Pelodiscus sinensis: one gene and its partner. The protein of the gene in region 2 interacts with the protein of the main gene of each other region in a pairwise test. Links are inferred from orthologs where the notes say so. Each region holds a gene or a part of one and is shown on either strand. Other genes may lie near its edges.

Evidence for each region. The genes of interacting proteins can lie anywhere in the genome.
Region 1: the proteins of SAT1 (region 2) and KCNA4 interact in binary tests that used the Homo sapiens proteins (3 or more experiments, as listed by UniProt). The link is inferred for Pelodiscus sinensis from reciprocal best matches to the Homo sapiens genes SAT1 and KCNA4.

The regions. Positions count from the first base shown.
Region 1 is NC_134714.1:95,610,448-95,618,004, forward strand, and holds the start of KCNA4 (potassium voltage-gated channel subfamily A member 4), read right to left. Parts: upstream 3,071-7,557; 5' UTR 2,258-3,070; intron 1,534-2,257; 5' UTR 723-1,533; coding exon 1-722. UniProt on the Homo sapiens protein: Voltage-gated potassium channel that mediates transmembrane potassium transport in excitable membranes. Forms tetrameric potassium-selective channels through which potassium ions pass in accordance with their electrochemical gradient.
Region 2 is NC_134711.1:205,581,867-205,589,441, forward strand, and holds the start of SAT1 (diamine acetyltransferase 1), read right to left. Parts: upstream 3,062-7,575; 5' UTR 2,869-3,061; coding exon 2,803-2,868; intron 2,437-2,802; coding exon 2,385-2,436; intron 2,300-2,384; coding exon 2,216-2,299; intron 911-2,215; coding exon 809-910; intron 727-808; coding exon 686-726; intron 256-685; coding exon 85-255; 3' UTR 1-84. UniProt on the Homo sapiens protein: Enzyme which catalyzes the acetylation of polyamines. Substrate specificity: norspermidine = spermidine >> spermine > N(1)-acetylspermine. This highly regulated enzyme allows a fine attenuation of the intracellular concentration of polyamines.

The DNA.
Region 1 (7,557 bases), on a different chromosome or scaffold from region 2:
TCGAAGAAGTACTCATTCCTGAGTGGGTCAAAGTACCTACCCCGCTTTGCCGGATCCCCCAGCAATGTTTCAGGAAACTGAGCCAAGGTCTTCAGCTGAGTCTCAAACCGCAGTCCTGATACATTGATCACTACCCGTTCGCAGCACTCATACTCGCTGTAGCGCACTGTGCTGTAGCCCCCAGGGCCGCCGTCACCTCCACCATCATCAGGTGGGTGGTCCAAATACGAACATTCATCCACTTCATCCTCGTCACTGTAGTAGAACTTCCCTTCCTCCTCATCTTCTTCATCCTCCTCCTCATCCTCCTCTTCCTCCTCACTCAAGTCCTTCAGTATCTTCTCTTCAGAGCCACTTAGAGGCAGCAGCTCAGAACAGAGGAAGGAGGCCCCACACTCCCTGCTACTCAAATAGTGGCTCCTTTTTCTCCCTCGCTTTCTCCTTCTACTGCTTTGATGCCAGGGCAAACTGCTATGTGGTGCATTGCCATCGTGAGAAGAAGAAGCCCCCCGACTCTGTATCTGGTGGTAGTGATGATAGGGACCACCTCCTCCCGAGGCGCCGCCTTCTACTGCTGCTGTTGCTGCTGCCACAGCTGCAGCTGCCGCTGCCCTCGAGTGTGCCAGTCTTTCTCTCTCCCGAGCCCGAGCCTGGACAGCATATCCATAGGGCATGTGGCTGTTGCAGCCAGAGCTCTCTGCACTCACCATTGCAACCTCCATTTTGTAACTGTTTGTTTAATACAAAATAGTCTGGGATATCTATAGTCACACCTTGACTTTTATGAGGGAAAGTTCAAAGCCATTTGCATTTGGAGGACAGTTTCTTGGAAGCACAGTACATGATGGTATTAGTAAAACTGAATTTGTGTTTTGTGAAATTGTAACCACCACAAAATCTGCATTTTCTTATCATTCAGGATGTCTGACAAATATAACCGTGTTTTGTTCACAAAAAAAAATAAAAGAAAAGATGCAGCCTTCAGTTTTGATTTCAGAAAGAGTCAAGGCCTCATCCTTTCATCAGGCAAGCCTCTTTATTTTTATGATACTTCAGTGGCCAATACAGAATCCACACATCTTTTCAAATGTGTGATTTTGTTGTAGCTCCAAGGACTGCACCCAATAAAGAGCCAAGTGTTCATACAAAACGAGGTAACTGTCCTGTTGTTTTCTTGACAAAGAAAAGTTTCAGGTCTTTAGTTTATCACTGTAACCAAATGCAAATAGTCTCTTTTCTCATCATTTTCTCCAAGTAATGCTTTGGTCTAGCAATATGATTACTGTTTAATAATGATATTGAGGGAGTTGAAGTAACTTCCAGCCATCATTTTGTTTACACAGTGAGGAGGTCTTTGCAAGCCCTCTTTCTTCAGCCTGTCAACAGAGTCTCAAACCTCGGAGCAGCAGCCAGGGCAGTAGCTGCAGTGGCAAGAGGAGGAGGAGAAGGCTGCAACACTGGCTTGGAGGACTCCATAGGGGACAAGAGAGTGGATCACCCTTTGGTTATGCTCATGCAGAAGAAGCACTTAACCTGAGGCACATGCAGCAAACACACATACATACAAAAATAACAAAGAAAACAGAAAGGTTTAGAAAAGGTTGGTTCGTTTTCCTAAGATGCCACAGTGTAGGTCAAATGCAAATTGTGTCATTTACTAAGATGTTCAGCCACACATACACACACCCCCTTCACATTAATACATCACACACATTCATTCCATACACCCATAGGTTTTCTATGATTGTGTGTACAGATACGAGTGTGTGTGTGTATACACATATAGGTGTACTTAAGTATGTAATTGTTTTATCTTCCTAACTCTAGGAGAGAGCGCAACATTCACATCAATACTACTGTACATGGCAGTCACAATTTGCAAGACTTTACATATAGACTGTATTTGTATGTATAAAATCTTCTACGTATATCAAATGTGACACGGAGATGTATACAAAATAGCTCTGCTACATATTGGGAACTTAATTAACTGCAGGAATGATACAGTACATTTCAAATCTAACTTGTGATGTAGTCACAATGCACCTTTTACTAAACTGTCACTTAGTAAAAGGTACATACCTGGGCATATCCAGTGACCAACATCCATGCTTGTCTGACAAAAAAATACAAACTGTAGCTTCCTGGAGCAACAACACACGGTCACCCAAACACACACACACACACACACACCCCTAAAAACAGCACACACCCCTTTCTGAATATGCTGCAGGAAGAAAAATGCTATTATACTTACTGTTCCTAGGCAGAGAAATAGCAACGCTCTTCTGGCTCGTCCAAGGATGTGGAGAAAGAGCTCCTGAGAAGGGGACGGTGCTAACTAAGCAGCCTAGGGTTGCAGGTGTAGGGGCAGCCAAAACTACAGGTGGATGACTTATTTGTCTCGGTTCTCTTTGTACACAAGCAGATCTCCCAGGGGGAGCCAGATGGGGAGCCCAGCTCTGGAGAAATCTGGTCAGCGACGGTCACTTCTTAGCCCAGAGCTTAGCAAAACAGCAACAATCAAGAATCTTGCTCCAGGAGGAAACAAAAAAGAGGATTCGTGTGTGTGTGTGTGTGTGCGTGAGAGTGTGTGTGTGAGAGAGTGTGTGTGCGCGCGCGCGGGAGGACACGCTTGTGTGTGTGTGTGATCACTTGTCTCTCCAAAGCGGGCGCTGGCGGGAGGGTGAAATCAACGGGGAATAATCCCTGTGCGAGCCGAGCACTGGCGAGTGATAGCAGGAGGCGCCCTGTTGGTGGCAATTCCCCTCGCACGCCCGTTTACACTGCAGCCGAGCGCCCCGCAGTCCAGCGCACACCGCATCCACTTGTTGTTGCTGCTGCTATTATTTGGAGGGCGGGGGCGAGGAGGAGCGAGGCAATTAAACCCAACACAACCGACCCCCCGCGAGGCTTTCGCGCCCGCGCTCCCGAGCCCCTGCGCCGCGCTCCCGCTAACTCTGGCCTCAGTGAGTTGCGGGCGCAGGAACTGTTGCTCTTTCCCGCGCTCTCGCCCCCTTTGTCAGCCGTCTGCTGCCCGATTCCCAACTGTGTTTACGTGCCACTGAAGGACGAACGCCAGGTCTGATTTATTCCCTGGGCTTTCCAGCTCTCGGCCAGCCCCTAGCGGCCACAGCCCTCCTTGCACTCATTAAGCAATTTACAATCTCCCCCCCCCCCCCCCCCCGCCCGCATTGTTTCTTTTTGTGGTCATATATTAATTATTGAAAGAAATATGCCAGAGTTGAATAATACATACCTTGGCTAATACAAGGGAGAGCTCGGGTCCGTGCCGAGGGCTGTCTTTTTTAAAGAAAATCTATGCCGCTCAAGAGGCACTGGGAATTTCAAATGGAATCAAGGAATAAGTGTGGCACACAACATCAGTGAACAGCTGGATCTACCTGGCTCCTGCTGGTTTTTGGCCATGATTTCCCAATGTGTTGCTTCATAACAGAAAAGCAGCCCTACTGCTCTTATTGGAGGGGGGGGGGGGTTTGCGGGAAATCCAATCCACCCTAGAATCATAGAATCCTAGGGCTGGAATAGACCTCAGGAGTCATTGAGTCCAGCCCCGTGCCCAAGGCAGGACCAATCCCAACTAAATCATCCCAGCCAGGGCTTTGTCAAGCCAGGACTTAAAAACCTCTAGAGATGGAGAGTCCACCACCTCCCTAGGTAACCCATCCCAGTGCTTCACCACTCTCCTAGCGAAATAGTTTTTCCTAATATCCAACCTAGACCTCCCCCACTGTAACTTGAGACCATTGCTCCTTGTTCTGTCGTCTGTCACTACTGGCAATAGCAGCTCTGCATCCTCTTTGGAACCTCCCTTCCAGAAGTTGAAGGGTGCTATCAATCCCCCCTCACTCTTCTCTTCTGCAGACTAAATAAGCCCAAATCCCTCACCCTCTCCCGGTAGGCTATGTGCACCTGCCCGCTAATCATTTTGGTTGCCCGCTGCTGGACCCTCTCCAATGCATCCACATCCTTTCTATAGTGGGAGGCCCAGAACTGGACTCAACACTCCAAATGTGGCCTCACCAGAGCCAAATAAATGGGAAAAATCGCTTCTCTAGATCTGCTGGCATGCTCCTCCTAATGCACCCTAATATGCTGTTAGCCTTCTTAACTACAAGGACACACTGTTGATTCAGTGCTCCCTGGAGTAGGAACATTGCAAAACCCTGGATCTAATACCTGAATCCTGCCAAACTTTGGCCTCAAATTGTAATGCTCCTACAGAGAAATAAGTCTAGCTGCTCACTATGCAGAGCATTACGAAACCCCAGATATGGATTTGAATCCTACCAGATCCATCCACTTTTAGCCCTTACTCTCCTCAAAAAAAAAAAAAAAAACCACAGCAGGAAGAAGAAATAAGAGTAGCTCCTCCTACTCCACCAAAAAAACAAGCAGATAGTAGAATGTGGGACTTGATATCAAATATGCCCAAAATCCAGCTGGAGCCAGATCCAGGTTTTTACAACATTCATGTAGGGGATGGGGAGATCTAACTGGAAAATAAGCATAACCACTCCTATTCCACTAAAAAAAATCTAGATCCTAATGCACCCCAGCCTAATATCATGAGAAAAACGCATAACTGGCATCTGAATGTAACCCCACTCAAACAAAATAAAGGGTGGAAATAAAAACTCCCAGTGCACATAAAAAATCCAGATCATAATGCAAACTGATGCAGCAGTCCCATAAAATCATGCACCCAACCCCTTGATCCTGTTGGATCCATCCTGACCTGGATTGCACAGAAGGATGAAAAGGGAGACTCGAACAAAAATAGCACAAGTGGTTGATTTTCAGTCTTAGCACTTTCTCTATTCTTCTTGGATTCCCTTTAAGCTCATGATCAGGGAGATTCTTCAAAACAACAATGTTAGAAGAAGGAATGTTAGAAGGGAAGATAGTCTTGGAGAGTGGATAGCCCTGAGGTAAGGCACTAAGTAGGGACTCAGGAAACCTGGCTTTACCCCTAGTTCTGTGACAAGTTTCCTGGGTCTCATTGGACAGATCACTTTTCTGCGCTTCAGTTCCCTATCTGTAATTATAGTTCCTCTCTCCCACATTTTGTCTCTCTAATCTGTTTTGACTGGGAAATGGAGCAGGGACTGCCCATTTCTATGCATTCATACAGTGAATACAATGGGGCCTCAGTTGTTTCAACCTCTAGGTTTTATCATAAATAAAGATGAATGAAGCTCAGTGAATTATTTGCACTGTGGAATCCCTGTCATTAGGAGCTTTTAAGATGAGGTTAGTAAAAAACCTGGCAAGAATCACTTAGGCTAGATATATTTGGTTCCTTCTCAGCAAGGGGGGAAACTCTGCTTGCTCAATGTACTGAATCAAATGTCCTCCCTCTGTATTTGCAGTTTTGAAACAAGGCAAGCAGAGAGTACAATCATTGTGAAGGCATACAAAACCCAGGAGATATTAGGTGTTAGACTGTGTGTGGCATTTGCTCCTGATGAGATGCCAAAGGAAACTGAGTGGAGTTGGGAAAATATGGGGTGGTAAATTTTCACATCAGTTAAGGATCTCAGAAAAAGTCATGGAGAGGATGCCTTTGCAAGTATTCTTTGGCAAGTAGAACCAGGCCATTCTAGTGGCTGGTCAGAAGCATGATCTGTGAAATTTGGCACATATACTCCTTGTTCTGGCTATGAGGCTATGGACAGCAGTTACATGCTCCTGCTTTGGTCAGGAATAATTTGGGGAGAGATTAGACTGTGAGATCACAATTAATGCTGCCTTTGGACTGTTAAAATTCCATATATTTGGGGGGAAACTGGAAAGAGCAACATTTTGGTTCAAGACAAAGAATTCAAAAATGCTTCAAGAACTTTTCCAGTAGCTCTGTGCCTAGAGATGTCTCACATTGCAAACTGGTATTGTGCCAAATTGTCACAGATGTAGAGAAAATAATTTTGATATGTTTCACTGTATGGCACATATGTTTTCCAGTAGCAAATGTATTTGATAGTGTCTTGTAATTTGTGTCATATCTGCCACCAATTTGTCCAATTATTTGAATGGAAAGCGATGCTTTTAGGATCTACAGGCTGCACTTGAAGTTCTCATATCAAACAGCTGCCATTGACATCAGGGGAAGGGACACACATGGAGAAACTGCAGAATCAGACCAAAAACTGTGGGTACGTCTACACAGCCACATTATTTCGTCCATACTTAGTCCATGTCTACACAGCAGGCAGTTATTTCAAAATAAAGTCAAAATACTGTCATGCTGGAGGACTTCTTACTCTGATTCCTGCAACCCTCATTGTACAAGGAGTAAGGGAATGTGATGGACATCCCTTCCCCCCCTCCCCCCCCCCCCAAAGAACATTAATATAAATAACTCAAAGGTGCTTGGAGCAAATTATTTCATGTAACCTATCAATCTTCATGTCATGATCAGCTGATTCTGTTTATCTTATTTTGATGTGTGTATCATTTTTGTGTGTAAAATTAGACATATGGAGTAGGGTATACTTTATGATTTTTAAATGTGTAAATGGAAAGCCATCAATTGGGACCCCAGTGTCTCAGCAGTAATATGCAAATAGCCTTTTGTCCTTAAGGCTTAGCAGTAGTCCTTAGGGATTCCCCATAGAACAAGGGAATGCTTTAAAAAGAATAGGAAGGCAGGAGCCTTTGGTCTTTTGGCTGGGCTGCACCTGCAGGAAGGAGCCGAAGACCCCAGGGTGGGGAGACAGCCCTGATTTGCAAGGGCAGCTGGAAAAGATGTTTTAGGGTGAGTTTGAAAAGTTTGCACTGAGGTTCCAGGGTAGAATTAGCCAAGCATTTTTGTTTCTTTTGATTTGTAATCTACTTTGCTCTGCCTGTTCTCGCTTATTACCACTCAAATCCTACTGCTTGTACTTAATAAAATCACTTTTATTTTCTATCAAACCCAGTGTAAGCAATTATTACATGGGAGAGCAATCAGTGTGCACATTCCCCCTTTCATTGTTAAAGGTGACTTACCTAATTCTTTGGGGTTTGATGTCATTTGGGGAGTGGTATCCCAAGAGCTGGGCCCTAAACTGCACTCTAATCAAACTTGAAGAGGTTCAGTAACTGTACTGCTTCTTGGGGGTCAGAGATCTCAGCTCAGGGCCGTGATTGGGGGAGACCAGGGAGCTGGCCTGGCAGGACCAGGCAGTGAAGAGCCCCAGAGAGTGGGAAGGCGAGTGGCAGTGGCCGTGTCAGCACCCTGGGAGGCACCAAAAGGGGTCTTCTGAGACCGCACCCCCCTCACAGGGAAGTCGGAGGAAGAGTCTCTATTTCTAAATAAGTGTTGTGTAGATGCTCCCAATTTTGAAATAAGCTATGCAATTGACGTAGTTCAATTTGCTTAGTTTATTTCGAGTTAAGCCCTGCTGTGCAGTCACACCCTGTAGGTGCTATACATTTTGTTGAAGGACTCCATGTTAGAAAGTATTATGCATACAGTTTACACATATTATACTAGAAGAGATTGTCTTTGTGTTCGTGTACAAGGTCAGGAGTTAGGAGATTCGTGTTTTTGAG
Region 2 (7,575 bases):
ATTCCACTACAAACTGTACAGAAAGCAAGGCAAGAATTTATTCAAAGTATGATTCATGGATTTGTCATTTGCTGGAATAATTCCTCATTCTTCAGTTGCCATTTTCAACAGATGTTCTTTGTCAATTTTGAAGAGCCTCCATCCTTCCTCAGAGGACAGATCAGAAGCACCTCTTCTTTTGTAGAACTTGATAGAAGGTTCATTCCATTCTGCCACTATAAAGTGCATGCTGCTACAGCGGCATTTGAGAGCAACCTACAAACACATGACCAGTATATTTATTAGGTGTGTAGCAATTTTATTAATTGCATATGGAAATCTATTCCTCCATTACCGATAGGCAAGTCTCTCCACACATCATATTGCTGAAGTGAAGACTGCCATTAATATTGGCAGCTGTTTTAATCATAGCAATTTCCTTCAACCCACCTTGGTCTCGTTGGGCACAATGGAGATGAGGGACTGTCAATTCTGATTCTATGAAGTACTGACAGATACTAAACCAGTAGGATTTTACAGAATTTGATAAACCTACCCCATATGTCCATTTGTCCCTTTTATTACCATAACTGAATCACTCATTTTCAAGTACTATTGAAGGGTAATATTAATTGAGCTAAACAGACTTGCTTCTCTGCTGTGGTCTTCTTGTGCTAAAAATCTGACAGAGAATGGAACTATTTACCTGACTCAGATTCTTCAGAATTTCTGAACCAATGCCAAGTCCTAAAAAGTCAAGAAAGGTTGGTTGTAATTTTTAAAAAAAATTATAGAACAGTCCATTTTGAAGCTATTTGTTAAAATATACCTCTGAACTCTGACATTACAAAGAAATCTTCAAGGTACAGCAATTTTCCAATCCAAGGGTCATAAGTGAAGTAATACATGGCAAAACCCACAATAAGATGTCCTGTAACAAAGAATTACATCAGCAAAAATACCCTTAAATTTGAAAAGCAACAAGATTAGTATATTTCAACTTGCATGCATACAACCTAAATACCTAGGTTTCACATGCAACCATTAATGTATTAACTGTCATAAGCCTGGTTCAAGGATGGAAGTTTGCAATAAGCATACTGAGTTGTAGGTAAAACAGGAATTCTGATAGCTTGAGATGTGTTGTGGAATGAAGATTATCTTTCTAGCTCTTGGAAGGCAGTGTTTACGGTTATAGCGAACAATGAACATCTAAGGCTTTCTGCTACAGACACATTATACATACCCTATTATCAGTATGTCCACTTTGGAATATAAAACTGGCTTACATTTAACACGGCAGTTCAGAATATGCTGGCACTTTGCTCAATTCTGCTTTCTTAAAAATTGTAACACAACACTAACAGTAAATCTAAAAACTACACCTTTAAAAGACTGTTTTCCAATCAGTATCTCTCAAAAATTACTCAGTGGGAAAACCAGGAGTGCTCCCAGGAAGCCATAAGTTAACAATGGCATCTCCAGCACCTCCTTGGATTGTGTTCCCATTAACAAAGTGACAGTCTGTATCCTGGGCACCAGAAACATATCTACTTTGGCCAACAGCTTTCCTTGTTTGCTTGAAACAACTCTATGGCTCACTCTGTAAGAGTAGCCAACTGTCAGGTGCAAAACTGGTACCCTCTTCCAATATCATCCCACTCAGTCCTAAAACCTTGAGACTTCAAATCATGTTGTTAGCCATAGTAGTTTGCACATACTCATAAAAAGAGAGTGCATACAGGATTTCTGATCTACCGTGTGTTTTTTGGTAAATGTTTGGGAATAGTACTTGTCCCTGTTAGACCTTACCTCATGTATCATGATCATCTACTTTATTGTGTAACGGATCTTTTAGTTACCTCCCCGCCCATCCATGTACACGGAAGGGCCATGTACATGGCGAAGCTAGAGACTGTAACCTGAAGATTGGGGACAAATTAAAGAAAAAATGTGATTCAACAGGATTACATTAAGGGAAATTAGGGTCAAACAAGAACAAACTAATTAAATGGAATTACTGTGTATCATATATATTATACCTGGTCTCCAGTGTCTTCAAAATGGCTGATCATTTTAGAAAAATATCACAACTCTTCAATATCAATAACTGTATTTTAACTTTCTTCTTATCCAAATTCCCAGCTGGGGCTTTATGTATAATCAGCAGCTTTAAATAATGTGTTACATACATCCTGTGCATTTCTTATTTTAAAAGAGTAGCAGGAAATCTTACCTTCAGCGGTCCACTGTTCTTCTGGAACTTCTGCAACAAGACAGTGGTAGAAAGGGTGCTCACCAAAGCCATCTTCAAGCAGATCTACAAAATGACAATAGGCTGACGTGTATTAAATATTAACAGTAGTAGGACTACACCACACCAAACTCTGAGCAGCTCATGTTACCTTTTTCAGTTAGGACTACTTGATCCTCCATATCCTCATATTTAGCTAGTTCCTGAAAAAAAATACATGCACAGATATACATTTATTTCCATGCCTCAAGGAGGCATTTCTTATCCAAGTGCTATTTATACACAGCAGAGCAGAGAGGCAGCCACTTGCCCGCTGCCAAGAGCGAAGAGCCCCCGCGTGCCCGTGAACTGAACACAAACAACTTGTTTTTGCCAAATTAGGAGTTCTTGGTTCTGGGCGGACAAAACTGACACTGGAGGAGTTTCGAGCCCCCCCCCCCCCCAAACCGGGGCAAAGGTCCTGGGTAGGAGATTTAGGCAGAAAACAAATTTTACCCCCCCCCCCCCGCAGCAGCAACCCCCCCCCAGTAAGCCCCGCCCCGCCGCACCCATCCCCCCGCCGGCGGCACCTTGATGAGGCGCAGCAGGTCGGGGCAGTCCTCGGGCCTTGCGCTGCGGATGCGGAACGGGGCCATTTTCGGCGGCGCTTCCCCCTGCGGCCCCCCCGGCTGGCGAGTCCCCGGTACGTGAAGAGGAGCAGCAGCCGCTTGTTCATTCGTGTGCCCGGCGCGGCGGCTCAGTCAGGCTCCGAGCATGACGCGGACACAGGACCCGACCCGACGCCGATTCCCCCTCTGCGCCCCCGCAGCGCCGTGTGGAGGCGGCCGGCCGCGCGGCCCCTCTATATATCGGCAACAGGCTCCGCCCCCCCGCCAATGGCCTGCCCCCCCGCGCAGATCCTCGGCCAATCACTGCGCTCCTGACCCAAGCATTACCTCACTCTTCCGGAAAGGGGCGTGTCTTGCCGGCTGCAGGCCCCGGGCGCGCGCGCGGACGGCAGCGCCCCCTGGCGGGCAAAGGCCGCCCTGCTCCAGCGCCAGCTCCGCGGGAGGGGGAGGGGTGAGAGGGGAAGTGCCAGCCCCGCCCCAGTGACTCCGGCCCTGGGAGACGCCCCCCCCCCCCCCCGGTGCCAGGAAAATGGCCCTGCCCGGGGACACTACCCGCTGCCCGCTCTGCAGCCCCACCCATTTTGGCCTCCCCCGGGCTGGGAAGCGAGGCTTCCCTTCCCCACTTGCACTGGCACCACCCTGCGCTGGGGGGAGAGAATAGAGGCTGGGACCAAGAGATTCAGCAGGTGGCATCTACCATCTCACAGGGACCTTGAAAGGTCATTGAGTCCAGTCTCCTGCCCTCATAGCAGGACCAAGTACCATCCCTGACAGATTTGCACCAAAGCCCTAAATGCCCCTCCCCCGTAAGGATTGAACTCTCAACCCTGGGTTTAGCAGGCCAATGCTCAAACCACTGAGCTATCCCTTGGTGGAACAGGTAGGTGGGGTACAGAGATAAGGACACCAGCCCAGGGTGCAGACTGAGGTGCGGCTGGGTTTGAAGGCAGGGAGTGGGCTGAGGGGTGCAGACTCCAGACAGCACTTCCCTCAAGCAGCTCCTGGAAGCAGGGACGCATTCCAACTCTGGCTCCTAGGTGGAGGTCCAGCCAGGTAGCTCTGCTTACTGCCCTGTCCACAGGACCAGGTGCTACCCAACAGCTCCCATTGGCCGTGATTCCTGACCAATGGGAGCTGCAGGGTCAACTGTTGGGTCAGGGGCAGCATGTGGAGCTCCCTGGTTGCCTGTATGCATAGGAGTTGGAGGGGTGACATGCCCGTGCTTCTAAGAGATGCTCAGAACCTGCATTTCCACACAGCGTTGCTGACCAAACTTTTAACTGTCTGGTCAGCAGTGTTGTCTGGAGCCATCAGGGATTCCTTTCAACCTGGCATTTTGATCAAAAACTGAACACCTGGCAGACACTAGAATTCCCTTCCAGTGCCAAAAGCACAGGCTCCTTAGAACCACAGGAGACTCTCTGCCAACTGCTCGTAACAGTGTCAGGTCCAAGAGTGGGGAGTTATATGGACCCAGGGTGCCTGGGCCCCAGAAATATTCAGAGGTCCTGCTTCAACAAAGTTTGGGGCTGGGTTTTCCCCCTGGTGGCACCTAGCCTTCCACCTGCTTCAAGTGCCCCTGCTGTTAGTGAGAGTTGCGGGAGTCATGCCTGCCAGCGTGCCCCCCTGCTTAGAAGCTACTGCCGGAGGAGGTGCCTTAGATAAATGCTATATGCCACCTCTCTACCTACATCCTCTTCTGCCCCCAAACATCCTCCCAGAGCCTGATACCTCACCTCTTCTACACCCCAATTCCCTGTGCAAGTCCAGAGCCTGCACCCAGCACCCAAACTTCCTCCCATAGCCTTAGGCAGGTGGAAGAAGTGAGTTCTGGGCACCAACAACATTTCTACAAACTTGCCACCCCAGCCCAGGGAGACTTAACAGTGAACAACTTGTGAGGGGAGAGGAAATGTTTATCTAAAAGCATCAACCTCCTATTTTCCTCCAATGAAAGTGCCACAGATGTCTGTAATAACAGCATGCAGCACACAGAGGACTTTGATTTGTAAAAAGTCTCACTAGAGAGTGTTAATTAATACAAAAGACTGCATTTATGGGAGGGACACCAGGGCCTTCCACACGTTACCTTTCATGTGATTCCATCCTGCCCTCAACCTTCCTCCCCCCACTCTCCTCGTGTCCCATCTCAGAACCTCATTATCTGGTGATAATTTTATAACTGGTGTGTGTCTGTTGAATAGATGAAGTTGTTAAATGATGATCTGGTTTCCTAGTATCATCTGTACTGTACTTCCAGATGTCAGTGAGAATCTAGAAGTATCCCACAATGGAAATTTCTTAAATGAAAGACGATGGGAAGGATAATCTCCCTGCTTTCTTTTAACACATTATAAGTGCCTCCATCTTGGGAAAACTAAGCTTCCACCACCAGGAGTGGCCCGAGGTGGGCTGCGGCAGCTGGTGCCCCAGGCAGAACATGCGATTGGCGCCCCCGCCTGCAGGGCCGTCAATGGACAGATGTCAGCATCGGGCACCCCGGGCGCCCCATTTAAGATGGTGTCCTAGGCAGCAGCCGAGTCCGCCTATAGTCACGGGCTGCCTCTGTCCATCATCCAGCTTGCTTATGGAAGAATCCCAAGCACAGCTACAGTGGGGAGAGGGCTAAGCAGCAGTTCTGCAGAAAAAGACCTGGGGATGAGTGGATGAGAAGATGAATAGGAGTCAACAGTGTGCCCTTATAGCCAACAAGGCTAATGGCATATTGGGGTACATTAGCAGGAGCATTGCCAGCAGATCTATGGAAGTGATTATTTGGCACTGGTGAGGCCACATTTGGAGTATTGTATCCATTGCAGAAGAATGTGAACGCATTGGAGGAGTCCAGTGGAGGGCAACAAAAATGGTTAGGGGGTGGAGCACATATCTTATGAGGAGAGGCTGAGGGATTTGGACTTATTTAGTCTACTTAAGAGAAGAGTGAAGGGGGATTTGATAGCAGCCTTCAATTACCTGAAGAGGGGTTCCAACGAGGAAGGAGAGAGGCTGTTCTCAGGGGTGACAGATGGCAGAACAAGGTGCAATGGTCTCAAACTGGAGGTCTAGGTTGGCTATTAGGGAAAACTATGTCACTAGGAGGGTGGTGAAGCACTGAAATGGGTTACCTACAGAGGTGGTGGAGTCTCCATCCCTAGGGCAGTGTTTCTCAAAGTGATCCACGGACCCATTCTGAAAAAGCTGCTACGGGGCCACTCTGGTTTGTTTACTTACTGGCTCTGCAGCCACGGAGCCTCACTGCTCCCATTAGCTGTGGTTTGCCATTTGCAGCCAAGGGGAACAGCGGGAAGCAGAATGACCTGGGCCACTACTTCCTGCAGATCCCCTTGGTTGCAAATGGGAAATTGCAGCCAATGGAAGCCATGAGGCTCCTTGGCTATGGAGCCAGTAAGTAAACAAAGTGGAGCAGCCCAGTAGCAGTTTTCTCAGAGTGGGTCCATGGACCACTTTGAGAAACACTGCCCTACAGGTTTTTAAGTCCTGGGCTGACACAGCCCTGGCTGAGATGATTTAGTTGTGACAGATCTTGCTTTTATGATCATAACCCTCAGCTTTTATGATCATACCTTCAGCCTCCCCTCAATGACCTTCTGAGGTCTCTTTCAACCTTATGATTCTGTATTTATGTCTTGCTCTTCCAGGAACTAGGAAAGCAAAGATGCGGTGACATCTGGGTTTGATGGAAAAGAGTAAGAGGCATAGAACTGTGTGTGCTATGTGCATCCATTTTTATTTAAATCCCTGCTTCATTGATTACGTCGGTATGTCTAATTTACATGCCTCAGTCGGCAGAGGCATGTAGTCTAGACATGCCCTTGGAGAGGAAAGAACAAAACCATTCCAGCCAGAGATATGTTACTTATGCCACAGGTATCAAATGCTGCAGACTTGTGAGTAAGTCAGCAGACATCTGATCTTTGCCACTTGCAAGGGAGAAATCAACAATCAACGAGACTAGAAGAATCTCTGTACAATATCCAACTCATTTTCCCCATAGCCCATTGCCCATCCCTCTCAGCTGCTTGTGGCTCATTCATCCCCCCTAAGGCCCACTCTGCCCCTCGCTTCTATAGGCCCAGTGGAAAGCCAGACTCAGCCTAACTCAGGACGGTATAGTAGTGAAGCTTGAAGGTGAGTCTTGGGGCATCTGTGCTACTGCTGTAAAAGTTCCTCTGCTGCCACCCTTGAAGTGCCAGAAGAAAGTGAAAGGTGAGCAGGTGTGGGGAGGCTCCTTTGAGTATGCACTGAGTCACTGGCCAAGAAGAGCCGGGACGCTAGCACCACCTGGGCTGGGAGAGATTCGAGATGAGCCCTAGAAAGGGACAGTCCCTACCTAAGATGAACTGCTTCCTCAAAGATGCTTGAGGATCCCTCCTGTTTGTCTCTTCTTTCTGGGGTCCTCAAGCATCTTTGCCCTGCCTCTCCCCACTCTGTGTTAGGAAAAGTCCATTAAGTCAACTGTAGATAGGACAGGTGCATTCCAGTGTCTACTGCAGGGATCTCAAACTCCCAGCCCATGGGCCATCTCCTGCCCCTGCAGAGAGTATGAGGGAGCCTGACTGCTGCTGCCATTCCACACCAGGCCCCACCTAAAGTCAGATCATCTGAGAATGGAGTGCTGTGGGGTGGGAAGAGGGCAGGGCAATGGCAGGAAGGGGCAGGGCTTGGGGAACAGTAAGGAACAAGCCCGCTGGGATTCCCAGGCTGGATTGCGCA